4 linked regions of the Caenorhabditis elegans genome follow. The protein of the gene in region 1 purifies or fractionates together with the protein of each later gene. This does not show direct contact. Each region holds a gene or a part of one and is shown in the gene's direction. Other genes may lie near its edges.

What was found.
Region 2: the proteins of C02F5.10 (region 1) and F26H9.5 fractionate together in Caenorhabditis elegans (co-fractionation; one large-scale study listed by BioGRID). This does not show direct contact.
Region 3: the proteins of C02F5.10 (region 1) and acp-6 fractionate together in Caenorhabditis elegans (co-fractionation; one large-scale study listed by BioGRID). This does not show direct contact.
Region 4: the proteins of C02F5.10 (region 1) and cyn-6 fractionate together in Caenorhabditis elegans (co-fractionation; one large-scale study listed by BioGRID). This does not show direct contact.

The regions. Positions count from the first base shown.
Region 1 is NC_003281.10:8,248,171-8,251,403, reverse strand, and holds C02F5.10 (uncharacterized protein), read left to right. Parts: upstream 1-1,922; 5' UTR 1,923-1,931; coding exon 1,932-2,061; intron 2,062-2,267; coding exon 2,268-2,362; intron 2,363-2,409; coding exon 2,410-2,592; exon of another isoform or gene 2,593-2,641; coding exon 2,642-2,671; 3' UTR 2,672-2,726; downstream 2,727-3,233. Other genes in the region: Outer kinetochore KNL1 complex subunit knl-1, read right to left, coding at 28-433, 486-575, 623-768; C02F5.2 (DUF5356 domain-containing protein), read right to left, coding at 1,242-1,375, 1,422-1,512, 1,556-1,662, 1,713-1,767; TM2 domain-containing protein C02F5.13, read right to left, coding at 2,751-2,964.
Region 2 is NC_003279.8:9,312,126-9,316,490, reverse strand, and holds F26H9.5 (putative phosphoserine aminotransferase), read left to right. Parts: upstream 1-2,002; 5' UTR 2,003-2,038; coding exon 2,039-2,159; intron 2,160-2,209; coding exon 2,210-2,279; intron 2,280-2,457; coding exon 2,458-2,539; intron 2,540-2,730; coding exon 2,731-3,024; intron 3,025-3,176; coding exon 3,177-3,722; 3' UTR 3,723-3,856; downstream 3,857-4,365. Other genes in the region: uev-3 (Ubiquitin-conjugating enzyme E2 variant 3), read right to left, coding at 3,887-4,104, 4,191-4,287, 4,341-4,365. UniProt on the Caenorhabditis elegans protein: Catalyzes the reversible conversion of 3-phosphohydroxypyruvate to phosphoserine and of 3-hydroxy-2-oxo-4-phosphonooxybutanoate to phosphohydroxythreonine.
Region 3 is NC_003282.8:6,424,043-6,427,733, reverse strand, and holds acp-6 (Histidine phosphatase family protein), read left to right. Parts: upstream 1-1,594; 5' UTR 1,595-1,596; coding exon 1,597-1,791; intron 1,792-1,840; coding exon 1,841-1,975; exon of another isoform or gene 1,976-2,045; intron 2,046-2,059; coding exon 2,060-2,204; intron 2,205-2,252; coding exon 2,253-2,635; intron 2,636-2,714; coding exon 2,715-2,963; intron 2,964-3,012; coding exon 3,013-3,051; 3' UTR 3,052-3,134; downstream 3,135-3,691.
Region 4 is NC_003281.10:771,409-774,708, forward strand, and holds cyn-6 (Peptidyl-prolyl cis-trans isomerase 6), read left to right. Parts: upstream 1-2,005; coding exon 2,006-2,203; intron 2,204-2,249; coding exon 2,250-2,657; 3' UTR 2,658-2,751; downstream 2,752-3,300. Other genes in the region: tpst-2 (Putative protein-tyrosine sulfotransferase), read left to right, coding at 169-206, 398-524, 571-765, 821-1,029, 1,085-1,295; alh-11 (Aldehyde dehydrogenase domain-containing protein), read right to left, coding at 2,985-3,115, 3,166-3,242, 3,292-3,300. UniProt on the Caenorhabditis elegans protein: PPIases accelerate the folding of proteins. It catalyzes the cis-trans isomerization of proline imidic peptide bonds in oligopeptides.

The DNA.
Region 1 (3,233 bases):
TTGGTTCCTTCTATTAATTCAACATACCGTTTCATCGCACTGGCCGCCCGCTGCTTTTGATTCATCGAGGTCCATCGGTATAGTTCTATTCATTGTAGCGTTATGCTTCGGAACTTTGGGAATCGTGAAAAGAACTGAACGATCAACTGACATATCCTTATCTTCTTGATTCGTTGTATTGAACATTGCTAAGGTATCATCCAGTGGCATACTAACAATTCGCTCGGTAACTTTTGTTGTGGTTTCGACGATCTTTTCGTATAATAGTGTTGGATCTCTTGTGGTTTCAAACAATCTCGCCGTTTCGTTGTTCTCGTTGATAGTTGTTTCGAGAGACATATCCATAGTTTTATCGAGATTACCACCGCCGAACACTTGAAATGAGGACGTGCAGGCCGGAGATTCGGAAATATCCATGTTTCCGCCACGTGGTCTTAAAAAGATTTTTACGTATTCATTATTTCACGTTAAAGGATGGAACTCACGTCAAAATACCATCTGATCCAATAGTGTCAGTAATCTTCTCCTTAACTGGTGTGGCGTCAAGAATTTTACCATGGTCCCTGTCATACTGCCTGAAATAATTATTTTATTGATAAATTATTCACTGACTCTAACTGACTTGACATGCTTCACGTTATGAAAGCTGACTCGTCGATTAGTTGTTGTGGAACTAGGCCCACTGTTCATGACGGTTTCCTCGATGGTTTCGACGGCTTGCCGCACCTTGAGAATCGAGTTCCGCTTCTTACGAGGCTCCATCGACATGGCTGTAAATATGTTTTAAAAATGGTAATAAATTATGATTAAAAAAATAACAAAACAACGGCAGCATAAACTTCGTTAAATGGGAAAAGTAAAAAAGTGAAAAGTAAACGAAGGCAGTTTTGCTTGGCGGCAAATCTCTGTTTGAAATTGAACTTGTACAATGGAGCGAAGCTGCACTCGACACACCACCGGTTCCGTAGAACGCACACTACGAGTAATTCCTTAACTTGGGGCAGTATAATACAATTTTAATAGTTTAAAAAACCAATTGTTTCAAAAATTAGATAAAATTCAATATTAATAAATAAATATATGTACCATTACAGCTGATACACATTGCAAAAATATTTTCTACGAAATTCGAATTCTCAAAATCCGTAGTTTCTCTTGTGAGTACTGTATTTAGATATTTTTTCAGGCAGATTTCAATTAATTTTTTTTTAACCGTTAAGCTTTATTCAACACATAGAGAATCAGGCGGTATCTCTCCAGTCAGGGAATTCTAATTTTATTTGCACTTCTGTTCCATCTGGTGTAGTTTTATCCAAGAGCAATTGACATGATTTCTGAATCAATCGAGCCAAATTGTGGTGTTCTACGACAGGCTCTAAACCAATACAAATTAAGTTCCCAGAATTTTGTGATTTCTCAACTTAAAGGCAATGGAGTTTGTGGTGGAGATTCTTCAGTGACAATTATAGTTTCCATGTTCTTCTCAGTTGCTGAGAACACATTAACTCGATTCTGGAAAAGTTTTAATGAAAATCTACGTAAAAATAAAAATTACCGGCTTCTTTTTCACATTGAGAAGTTCTGCAGAATACGGATCATCTGATGCGTTCCATTCCGATTCTGTATAATTTTGAAGCGCTTCTCCAGTTGAGCTTGGTGGAACTAAAACTTTTTATTAAAAAAAAAACCGAAAAGTTATATATATTACTCACGGCTTATAGAAGTATCAGATTTACTAGGATTTTCTTCCTTCTTTTTGTTGTCCATCTTGTATTTGAAAATGATTTGTAAAATACATTTCCATAAGTGAAAACTCAAAATTACGTGTATTGCATTTTTTTTTCGAAATCTTTTAATTAAGAAAAAACATCTTTTGAAAAGGAAATAATTTTATTCTTCAAAACGATAAAATCAAAATCAAGAGGCAAAAAATGGCAGAGCAGCAACCAAGCAAAGAAGAAAAGAAAGAAGATAAAAAAGACGAAAAAGAAGAGGAACTACCAGCACCAAGTGTTCAGCAATCTATTCGACAGTTGCCGAAGATTCAAATTACTGATGATGGTAAGGATGAAATTTCAATATTACACAGATGCGAAATTTTGTTAGTTTACGCTGAGAAGTACGGTGCCCGGTCTCGACACGACCGAAATATTTTTAGGCAGCGTTTTTAGTTAGAAAACAGGCGTATGGCTTTAAGGACTACAGTAACCCAACTCCAAGCTATTTTACAGTTTTCGCATCTGGACAATACAAAGTTTAATTTCCAGATAAGGGCGAACAGCTGCCAGAATGCACTGAAGGAGAGTGGGATGCCAGTGATGAACCGTTCTCAGCTGAACTTCTGAACGTCAAAAATGCTCCAGTAAATATTCAAATTTGTAGTAAATCCTTCTAATCATCCAATTTCAGAACAAGGTATCCGTGTTCAGTGGTCCTTATCGTTCCAAAGAAACCATTGAAAAAATCAAAAAGTTCAGAGCAGCAATGCCTCCTGTCATTCCAATCATTGACGAACGGCCAGATAAGCTGGCTCAAATGATGAGTCGTATTTTCAGTGAGATAATTGACGGACGTGATCTTTCGAAGATTAAGGTATTTTTCTTTATAAAGTAAATGACAAAGGAAATTACAAATTTTACAGGTGACAGTTAGCACACAATTGCCGCAATGATTGGATTTGACAATATGAGATCGGTTGTAAATATTGACCAATAAACAATTAATTTTCCACTCGTATTAGTTAATTTCTTTTAATAGTACGGCTCCCAACTCGAGTCATCCGCGGGTCCGAGTACTCCAAGTACCAGTAAGAATATATCGACAATCCACCAGATTCCAAATCCACCCAAAGTCATTAGTTTTCCGACAGCCATTGCAGAATATCCCAGGCAAAAACGGTCGACAGCAACCACACCGAGAAAAATGGAATACAGAAGAGTTGTGAGAAAGTAGTGACCATTGTATCTGAAAATATGAAATTTATATTTTTTCTGAATATACTTCAAAAATCATATAATCTCTTCGTAGGAGCATCTTTATTGTGTCAGTTTTAAATAATTTTTTTAAAATAAACCCCGGACGCGAAATTTTGCGACTTTTGCGGCAAGAGTACTGTACCACGTCTCGACACGCCTTTTTTGTTAAATGCGAATTTAAAGAGTACTGTAATTTCAAAATTTCGTCGATGTGGAACTTTCATCGATTTTTTAAATATTTTTGGTGAAAACTGATTT
Region 2 (4,365 bases), on another chromosome or scaffold:
CCTTTAAAATTTTTTAACGAAAGTTTGGCAGTTTGCCAAAACTCTGTCTGAAAATTTTGAAAAGTGTAAAAACTTTCGCAGTTTTCTATTTAGATTTTCAGTATTTTTGACTAATACTGAACATATTTTGGCAAACATCCCTGGTTTCGTTCAATAAGAATTTTGAAAAAGTGAGCTATAAGTTGAAATTTGTTAAAAAATTTTATCCGAAAATTTTGAAAAACGGCAATTATCGAATTATCGAGAAAATTCTCAGAATGAAATATTAAAATCTCCAGTTTTTTATGTGTTGGGAAGGAAAAAAGTTAAATTGTATTACCAAAAAAAAGACTCACTACAATAAAAGTTTATTAAACTCGATAATTGCCGAATTGCAGAATTCTCGAAAATTTTCGATTGCCGCCTGATTCCAATGTCAACAAGGCAGAAATATATTCCCAAGAGTTTAATGTTTGGGCCAGTCAGTTGTACATTTACAACTACATTATGCAACATTTCCTGTAGCGATTCGGTTTTTAGTACAAACATATAAACAGTTGACCTATTTAATTTCCAATTTATCCCACTCAAAGACACACCCATTGTTCTCACGAATCTTACATCATTATGATGACATTTATGGGGTTATTCAAGTAGTGTCGGAAAATTAAAAAGTGTAGAAAAATTACGTCACAACCTTATTCAAGTAGATAAAAACATGTATTTAAATACATTTGTGACGTCACAAATGTATTTAAGTACATTTTGCTACATTACTTGAATAACCCCATTATAGCCAAAAAACATGAGTTTATCTAAATAAACCATCTGTGTACGTGACTTTCATAACTTTCTTTTTGTTCCATAAAAGAGTCGTCTCATGATAACATCATACCCCTCCCCTCCTCTTCTTTTCCCTGTTCTCCGTCATTTATGCATTCATTTTGTTGCATGGCGGTTGTTGGTACACGTGTACCCCTTTTCTTATCATAATGATCAGCTTGCTAGCTTAGCGATTTATGTCCTCTGACTATTGTCATCTGAATTAGAAGATGTTTGGTATTTGTTATATTTTTGGATAGCTTTTTTTTGAAAAAAAAACATCAGTATTATTTGTTTGATAATTATTTGATAGCGTTGATTTCTCAACCCGAAATTGTTCACTTTTCAAAAATTTTGTTGGATTTTTTAATCTTCCAAATATTTGAAAGCAAACCAAATATAAAAACAAACATAAAGTTTCAAGTTTACTCGTATTTACTAAAAGTTATGGTTATTCTGAATTTTTCTGAAATACGAAATGAAAGGTACACAGTTTTAGTGAGGTGGGTCTCGCCACGAAACAAGTTTATGGTAGTACTTTTTATCATTGCGGCGGTCGCTTTCCTATTTTCCTAACTGTTCTTTTCGAAAATTAAATTTCCTTAAATCTTTTTTATCAAGAAAAACATTGATTTTAAAAGAATTTTCGTTTGAAAAAAACGGAAAGCGCGTTTACAACAACCGCCGAAAAAAGTGCTACCATAAACTTTTTCGAGTGGCGAGACCTGTTCAAATTAATCTGTGCGCCTTTTCAAAATTACGATATTACGAAACCATGAGTTCATGAGAATGCCTACTTTGTGGCGCGAAAGTAGCGGCAGCAGAGAGAACGTGCGGTGACGAGAGATTTAGGTGCCTTCGCTACGAGATATTCCCGCGCCAAAACGGTAGGCATTCTCATGATCTCATGGTCTCTTAATACTTAAATCTTGACCCATCCAACGGATTCTTTTGCAATTTTTTACACAAGAAATTCCAATAAATTGCTTTTGAGTTTAAAATATTCAAAATTATAACTTTAATTCATTTTTAAAAATTTAAATTTAAGTAAATTGAATCGCTGAATTGTTTTTAAACTTCAATCTCTCAGCATCATAAATATACTATTACTCTTCTTCTTTTTTTCTTCTTTTCCTGCAGGAATTCCTGCTCATTGTTCGAAACGTTTGTTTTTTGCGAAACCGCTACTCTATTTTTGCAGAAATCAATAAAACACACTAACCCTCTTCTCCATAAAATGGCAGCTCCCGGACGAAAAATTAACTTTGCTGCTGGTCCAGCAAAGCTTCCTGAAGAAGTTTTACTTAAAATGCAAGAAGAACAACTCAATTTCAATAATCTAGGAGTCAGTGTCATTGGTAAATTAAGAAATATGCGGATATTGTGAGAATTCAAGACAAATTTTCAGAAATGTCGCATAGATCGAAGGAATTCGGAGCTCTTCTCAATGAAACTATCAGTCTTATTCGGGAACTTATGTAAGTTCGATGTTTCTGAAATTATTCTGTAATTAGTTCAACTAGCTAGAGTGATGAAACTTGAAACATTGTGCACCAAGCCTTTTTAAAATTAAAGTGCAAAATGCTTCCATTCCTTCAAAAAAAGAAAAAGAAAACCCGGAAGTGGCATTTAATCTTAATAAAAATCTATTTGCAGGAACGTACCAGACAACTTTGAAATTCTTTTCATGCAAGGCGGCGGAACCGGTCAATTCGCCGCTATTCCTCTCAATCTTAAGGTATAATTTATGATAAGAGTGAAACACGTCTCTGATGGCTTTTGAGACTTCCCTAACTAGAAAAAAATGTTGTTTAAAACAATTTATCATTCCTAGAAAATGAAAAAAAAATCTTATGACTTGAAAAGTTAGGCAAATCTCAATATACCCACAATAAAAAATAAAATATAAAAATAAAGTTTCCTTTATAGGGTGATCATGAACACGCGGACTACATTGTGACAGGCGCGTGGTCTTCAAAAGCAGCAGATGAGGCTGGAAAATATATCAATGTGAAGAAGGTTTTTCAACCATCAAAACCGTATGTCACTGTACCAGATCAAGAGAATTGGGTTCACGATGAAAAAGCCGCATATCTGTATTATTGTGCCAATGAGACTGTACATGGAATTGAATTTACTCCAACTGCTCCAGAATCACATAATGTTCCATTGGTGGCTGATGTTTCTTCGAATTTCATGGCTAGACCATTTGATTTTAAAGATGTAAGCACAACTATGTATATAAAAATCTTTTAGAAAATTAGCCAGATGTTTTATCCTAATTTTACAAGATTTTGGCAAGAGAAAATCTTGTGAAATTACCAAATAAGTTTTATGAAAAAATCATTAACCTTTTTTTAAAAGTTTCATTTCAGCACGGAGTGGTTTTCGGTGGAGCTCAGAAAAACCTTGGCGCCGCTGGTCTTACAATCGTTATTGTTCGGAAAGATCTTATCGGAAAGCAACAAGCAATCACTCCATCTGTCTTCAGTTATAAAGAAATGATTGCAAATAATAGTTTGTATAATACACCACCAACTGGAGGTATCTACACAACAAATCTCGTTCTCAAATGGATAAAATCAAAAGGTGGACTTCAAGCAATCTATGAGCTAAACCTTCAAAAATCTGGAATGATTTATGATATAATTGATAATTCAAATGGTTTTTATCACTGCGCCGTTGACAAACGCTACCGTAGTATTATGAATGTTTGCTTCCGAATTGGCGGTCCATCTGGAAACGATGAACTTGAGGAGAAGTTCTTGAAAGGATCTATTGAACGAAATATGATTAGTTTAAAGGGACATAGATCAGTTGGTGGAATCCGTGCATCGCTCTATAATGCCATCTCAGTCGAGGAGACACAAGTACTTGCCACGTGGATGAATGAGTTCCAGAAACTCCATAATACTAACTAGTCGGGAGACACTATATTTTTCTTGTATTCTTATTCTGAATTTGTCTGTGATTTTTAAAAACCTTCATGTGCCTTTTTGATTGTTTGTATTTGAATTTTTAAAGTGATTTTAAGAACCAATAAATAATGGTTAACATTTTTTGTTTATTTAAAAAAAACAGAAAACTATGAAATTCCAATGACATCAATGTCTTCATCAAGAAAATCTTGTCTTCTCCTTTTTTTTGTTTCAGCAAAAATTGTCTTGCGTCCGTTTATAGTTCCTCCGGCCATTTTCATTACAAATTCCCGGGCTGTACGCTCGAATTTCGGCCAATCCTCTTTAGCAAGCCGCGAGATATTCGGTTGTGACATATCTTCCAATTGAGCAAGATTTCTACGTTCTGGAAGAGTTCATAATTTAATTTTTTAGTTGATATTTAGATAGCCAAGTAGTTTAAAATGTCTTATAAATGTAGAAAGAATTTACCAATATCATATTTCACATTTCGCATTCCTTCCACAATAAAATTATATAAAACTTCCAAATTGGATCGTCGTTCCCATTGAATTCCACGCATGTCCCACTGAATAATTGCAAAAAATTTAAATGTTTTCAAAATTAGGTTTTTAAACTTACGTTTCCATATTTCCCAAGATTCGGA
Region 3 (3,691 bases), on another chromosome or scaffold:
GCACAATGGAGCCATCGCGATAGGAACCCGGGAGGCATATATACTAGACAAATCCTACCGTATTCTCTGCAAACTTTACTTCAGCCTTCTGCTCATGAAGTCTCAAAAATTCTGTCTAATTGAAATTCAAATTGCCACGGCGCAATTCACGGTCATTTGAACTCACCTTGAACTCTCGCAGATTCTCGGAGAAAAACCGGAACTAAAGTTTTCTCGCGATCTTTGTGGTTTTGTGAAACAGAGAAAAAAAGAGTAATTGGTGTATTCAATTGGAAGAAATTGAATTGAAGATGAGATGGTGAAACATGGAGTTTTTGAGTTCAAATAAACAATTGATCTTCTTCATGTTTGTCTGTTTTCTATGTGTTTTGTGTATTTCATCTTTTTCTTTCATTCATTTAAAATTGTCTCATTTTCAATTCATTTCTCCCTTCCATGACAATTTCGAGGCCAAATTGAATTGAAGTTTGGTCGTACCTAACAGAGTATAAAAGAATGGCACAAAATGTTGAGAACGTACATCCAAACATCCTTTCTGTTTGTGATCTATATTTTTATCATGATATTTTGGTATTGTCACGTCTGGTCTCTTGTCACGGCCTTGAGAAATCCTTTAATGACAAGATCGTACTAGGTAGCATGTGATTTAGATTTACAGTACTCAAGTATTGCTATCCTAGGTACATAGATAGAAAAGTTAAAAGAATTATTTTTTGTAACTTGAAAAAAGGTAATTTTAAGATAAAGTTAGCATCTAGTGCTCGATCGGTTTCAGGATAGAAGTAAAATTTTGAAATTTTCTGTTAGTAACAGTTTCCAAAATGTGCCATGGATGCATGTTAAAGTAATTATTTTACAGCTTGAATTTAAAAATAGTGACTGATTTGTAGGCCCACTTCTATCGCGCCTGCCTTGTGCCTTTCAGTTGAACCTGACGAATACCAAAGTTGTACGGCAAGGGTTCGCAGATCATTGAGCACGCGGGAAGGTACGAGGCCGGCGCAGGCTTCTGAACTAACGTGATATTTCATTTGAGATTTTTTTAATAAAATTATTAGTTCCGTGTTTAATGGTTTCTCTATTAGACCAACAACTAACGGTTTTTTGTTCATTCTGTTTCAATGAAACGGTAACAAAACACCTGAAGATACTTTTTATTTCAAATCGGGTCATATCTTCTTTTAATTCAATTTTATTGAATTGTGTTCTGTCGTGTTATCTTATCAGTTTGTTATCGTTTCAAACAAAACAAAAACAGTATATAAACGCCGGGTAAGATGGAAGTTCACTGGCAATTCAGTGTTCTTGTGTAATTAACTGATTACCAGAATTTTAAATTTGTCTAGAAAAGCTCTCAGAATATGTATTTTTCAACCTGAATCTATCATTCTACAATCTCCTACCTTTTAGTCTAAACAGTAAATGCCTTCTTGCGGACCTGCAACGTTTGTGGAATAGGCATGTAGGTAGTCTAGTCATGAGAAGCTTTATCAGTTTTCATACTTCTTGGTTTGCTCTCATTAAAAAGTGATATGTTTCTTCAACTTTACCGTTGTATTTTACGCCACCTCAGACAAAGAAATTATATTTTCAGGTATGAACCTTCTACTATTTTCTGCCTTGATCTTGGCTACTTCAGCCGCCCATCTTCTCCCAAAGAAGTCTGTTGCAATTGATAAGAACTCGGTTCTTGTGCTGTTCGGAACTCGTCACGGAAACCGTCATCCAGAAGTTTTTCTCCAAGAGAATCCAAGAAGCTGGGGACATGAGGGAAATACTGAATTGACTTCAGTAAGTATTAATTATTGGAGTTTCTAAATGAAATCTAGTAATATTTCAGTTCGGAAAGCGTCAAGGACTTGGATTGGGAAAGGAATTGAGAAGCTTTATTGGAAATTTGATCTCTCGTAACTACAACTCATCTCAAGTTAAATATTACTCCAGTTCTGCCAACAGATGCCAAATGACTCTTCAGGTATGTGGCGAATTCCGAATTCAAAGTAAAATAATCAAAATTTATCTAACTATAAGTTGCCACATTGAAACAGTAAATTTTTAGACTGTCACTGCTGCTCTCCACGATCCAGAACAATGGGGGGATTGGGATAAGAAATGGTACGATCATTGGTCTCCAGTCCCATATGCCATTGATGATCCACTTCTTAGAATGTACGCTGTTAAGGAATGCAAAGGAAATGATAAGGGTACGGTTGTACTTGTATAATGTGAACATATAAATCCTGATTTTACAGTCTGGGGCCCAATCGACAAGGATTCCCTTCCATTCCTCAAGAAGCTCAAGACAAGCAACGCAGCTGAGCTCAAATACTTCTCTGACAACACCAAATGGAACATGGAGAATCTGGGAAAAGCTGCTGATTTGGCCGATAATCTCATTGAAATTGATCTCTACAAGGCTGAATATCCATCATGGATTAAGGCTCCAAAGTTGAAAGGATACACTTTCGAGAAGCTGAAGGCTAAGATTCTGGAATTTGCTGAAGTTCATCAGAACGCTTGTGCAGAGTACGGACCATGCGGAAACTTGATGGCTGGATATTGGCTTCAGAATTTGATTGATAAGGTTGCTGATGCTAACGCTGGAAAGGGACCACAAGTTATTGGATACGCTTCTGTAAGTTATTTACAACCTGTCAATATTAATGTGAAACCTCTATTTCCTGTGAAAAAATTATACAAATTTCAAATTCCAGCACACCGAAATCACTCTTTCCGTCATGAAATTGATGGGATACGTGAAGGATGAACTGACCACCTCCGCTGGATTCGTAGTTGAATTTAAACGTCTTCCAAAACCAGCTGTCCGTCTTCTCAACCATGATCCTAACCCAATCGATGATCATGTCATCTATCCAGCTGAACTTACTCCAAAACTTAAGAAATTGGCTGACAAGGATGGATTCATTCCATTGGAACAATTCTTCGCCTATGCAAAACAATTCGTAAGTTGGAAAAATAGGTTAGATTATTGTAACAAATTAACATTTTCAGTCCTTCTCCGATTGGAAGTCTCAATGCGACAAGGCTTAGATTCTTTGCATGAATTTATAATAATCGTTTGATTCGCTTCGTATGTACTAATGTAGTTACTTTTTAATAAATAATTCGAAAGTAATCAATGAAAATTGCAAAATAACGGAGAATGGGTTACTGTGCTCATTAAAGGGGTATACCTCGATTTGGAACTATTTTTGCGATGAAAATCGTTTTTTTTTCTATTTAAAAGATACGTGAAGCTCCATGGAGAACAAAAAAAACTCCAGACTGGAAACCGAAGTGTTTGGATATCGTCCACTTGATACACTGCAACTTTTTCCTCACGAGGGACGAGGAAAAGTGGTTTCTAGGCCATGGCCGAGTCCCCGACAAATTTCAGCGGCCATTTATCTTGCTTTGTTTTCTGTGTGTTTTCTTTCGTTTTCACCGATTTTTTTCCGTTTTTTCTTATCAAAACTAATAAATAAATATTTTTTGCAGATGCTAAAACAATTTCCAAGTGAAAAAATTGTGAGTTCAGTCGGCAAGTAGCGGTAAAAGTGGTCAATGTAATATGATGGATTACGGGAATAAAAAACCCAAACTTTTTCCCAAACATGATACATATGCTGTTTAGATGCTAAAAGTACCTGATTTTCATAACGAGACCGCTGAAAAAGTTTTGAGATTTTCA
Region 4 (3,300 bases), 7.5 Mb from region 1:
AAATGGTAATTTTTCAGTAAGAAACTTCAGGAAAAGTTAGAACAGCTAAGTCTTTCAAAAGAGAGCTTAATCTTCAATGAGCAAGATGCTCGACACTCGAGACGACTCCTCTCAAATTTGGAGCAGCTGATTTTTGTGGGTGGTGTGCCGAGAAGTGGGACTACTTTGATGAGAGCTATTCTAGATGCACATCCGGATGTTCGATGGTAAATTTAGAAAATTTCAAAAATGCGATGTATGCTGCGCTTGGCCAAAAGATCTTGAATTTCTTCTCCTTTAAAACTTTTAAACTCCGTCGAAACAAGGCTTTCTGAAGTCAAGACTTTTTCTTGACAATATGATACTTCTTATTCAGAAAAAACAAAACGTATTACTTCTGCTCACTTCAAACTTTCAGTGGCGGTGAAACCATGCTGCTTCCAAGTTTCCTTACATGGCAAGCAGGCTGGCGGAATGATTGGGTCAATAATTCAGGAATTACTCAGGAAGTATTTGACGACGCTGTTTCAGCATTCATCACTGAGGTAGTGCTCTTGTCACCGTGTTCATCTTTAATTGCAATTCATACAGATAGTCGCGAAGCACAGTGAACTAGCACCTCGTCTGTGCAACAAGGATCCATACACCGCATTGTGGCTTCCGACTATTCGCCGACTGTACCCGAATGCAAAGTTTATTCTGATGATTCGAGATGCTCGTGCCGTAGTTCATTCAATGATAGAAAGAAAAGTACCAGTTGCTGGGTATAATACGTCTGATGAAATTGTAAGGTCTCCCTAATGAAACTCTTGAATTTCTAAAGATAATTTGAAACATTTAGTCAATGTTTGTTCAGTGGAATCAGGAGCTTCGAAAAATGACTTTTCAATGCAATAATGCGCCAGGGCAATGCATAAAAGTATATTATGAACGACTGATTCAAAAACCTGCGGAAGAAATCCTACGTATCACCAACTTCCTGGATCTGCCATTTTCCCAGCAAATGCTAAGACATCAAGATTTAATTGGAGACGAAGTTGATTTAAACGAGTATGTGCTTTCTTCATTAAAACTTTTGAACTTCAACTATCTCTTAATTTTGCAGTCAAGAATTCTCTGCATCACAAGTTAAAAACTCGATAAACACTAAAGCCTTAACCTCGTGGTTTGATTGTTTTAGTGAAGAAACTCTACGAAAACTTGATGACGTGGCACCTTTTTTGGGAATTCTTGGATACGATACGTCGATTTCAAAACCCGATTATTCCACATTTGCGGATGACGATTTTTACCAATTTAAAAATTTTTATTCTTAAAGTTTTGCACTGTAACCTATAACTTTTATAGAAAATAAGATGTCCAAAGTTACCTACATCATAGATTGTTATTATTTTATTTTTATCTATAGATACAACTGTTAACCTACATCATTATCATTATCTCCCATTGTTTTCAGATAGAGGTCAAGGTAACTTTCTAATTCTCCACACTCTCTGCAACACTATAAAAAAGAATGCGCGCACGCACAAATGTCCACTATTCCGCCGGACACGGCTGCTTCCTGCAGCTGTATCGATTTTTCTTTTGTCGTTTTTTTCTTTTCGAACAGGATTTTTGAATGCATTCTTCTATATTTTTTGAAAAATAAAACTTGCAATTAATATACTTACAATTAAATACATGCTGTTGGATTTCTAGAAAATTGCTTACATTGTTAGTTAAATTAAATACTATGCATTATATTTATAAATAAAATATTTATTTATTATAACTTAGTACTTAGTACTTAAGTACTTAAAGTACAAAGTAGGGGAAAAAAGATCAGGAACTAGAAATCTTATGATTAAATTTTGATAGGCTAAATTATTAGAATTTTGTTTAACTTCAAACGATTAATTTTGAAACTAAATTCTTACTTTGAGGTTTTTTTAAAAATCATATTTTATGTCAAATCCGACTTTTACCATATACTACTCTAATTATATTACTATGAAAATGAGCATCCAAAATCTCAACAAGTTTCCAGATGAGCCGTGCTCTTCTTTTCTTCGTTCTCGCCATTCTGGCTTTGTCAGCCGAGGCACGTGGACCACGTGTCACTGACAAGGTCTTCTTTGACATGGAGATCGGAGGAAGACCTGTTGGGAAAATCGTCATCGGACTTTTCGGAGAGGTCGTGCCGAAGACAGTGAAGAATTTCGTTGAGTTGGCACAGAGAGCTGAGGTATTTCAGTTTGTTAATTAAATTCTGTAGACTTTAATATTTTCAGGGAGAAGGATACGTTGGTAGCAAGTTCCACCGTGTCATCGAAAACTTCATGATTCAAGGTGGAGACTTCACACGTGGCGACGGAACCGGTGGACGATCGATCTACGGCGAGCGCTTTGAAGATGAGAACTTCAAGCTTCAACACTACGGACCAGGATGGTTGTCAATGGCCAACGCTGGAGAAGATACCAATGGATCTCAATTTTTCATCACTACCGCCAAAACCTCATGGCTCGATGGAAAGCATGTGGTGTTCGGTAAGATCCTGGAAGGAATGGACGTAGTTCGTGAGATCGAGGCTACACCAAAAGGAGCTGGAGATCGGCCAATTGAGGATGTTGTCATCGCCAACGCTGGACATATTCCAGTAGAGAACCCATTCACTGTCGCCAGAGCAGGAGTTAATTAAACCTAATGATCTACGGGTTTTCCAATTAATATGTGTATTTTTGTTGAATGTACTATAATTACTTTCTAAAATTCTAATAAACGTGTTTTGTTTCAGTACTTGATTATACAGCGCTGTCAGGATGTGCTACGTTTTGGAACTTGTAATAGTATTAATAATTGAGCAACCTGACTTGCCAATGTTCGAAATACCAAAAACACTATATCATAACTTTGTGGAGTATTGGTTTCAATTCTGAAGTTGAAATACACTTCTAAAAGCAATAATTTATTCTCGATCCGTTCGTCTAACTAGTAAAGTATAAAGATTTGTACATTTGAAGACTCATTAGAATGGGTTGGGGCACGTTCCGGTATTGACAAAGACCGACTTCAGGTGAGTATAATGTTCGAGTACTGCTGTTCCGTTTTCACGTCCGAATCCTGATTCTCCGACTCCTCCGAATGGAACCAGTGGCGCTGAAATTACAGGTTCTTTTCTAGATCTAGTGGGATTCGGAGCAACTTACAAACATCATTATAGGTATTGACATAGACGTTTCCAGCATTCAACTGCTCAGATACTCGATAGGATCTTGAGAGGTCTCTGGAATAATGAGATTTTCATTGAACATGCTTTAATAGGGTACTCTTACTTCGTGACT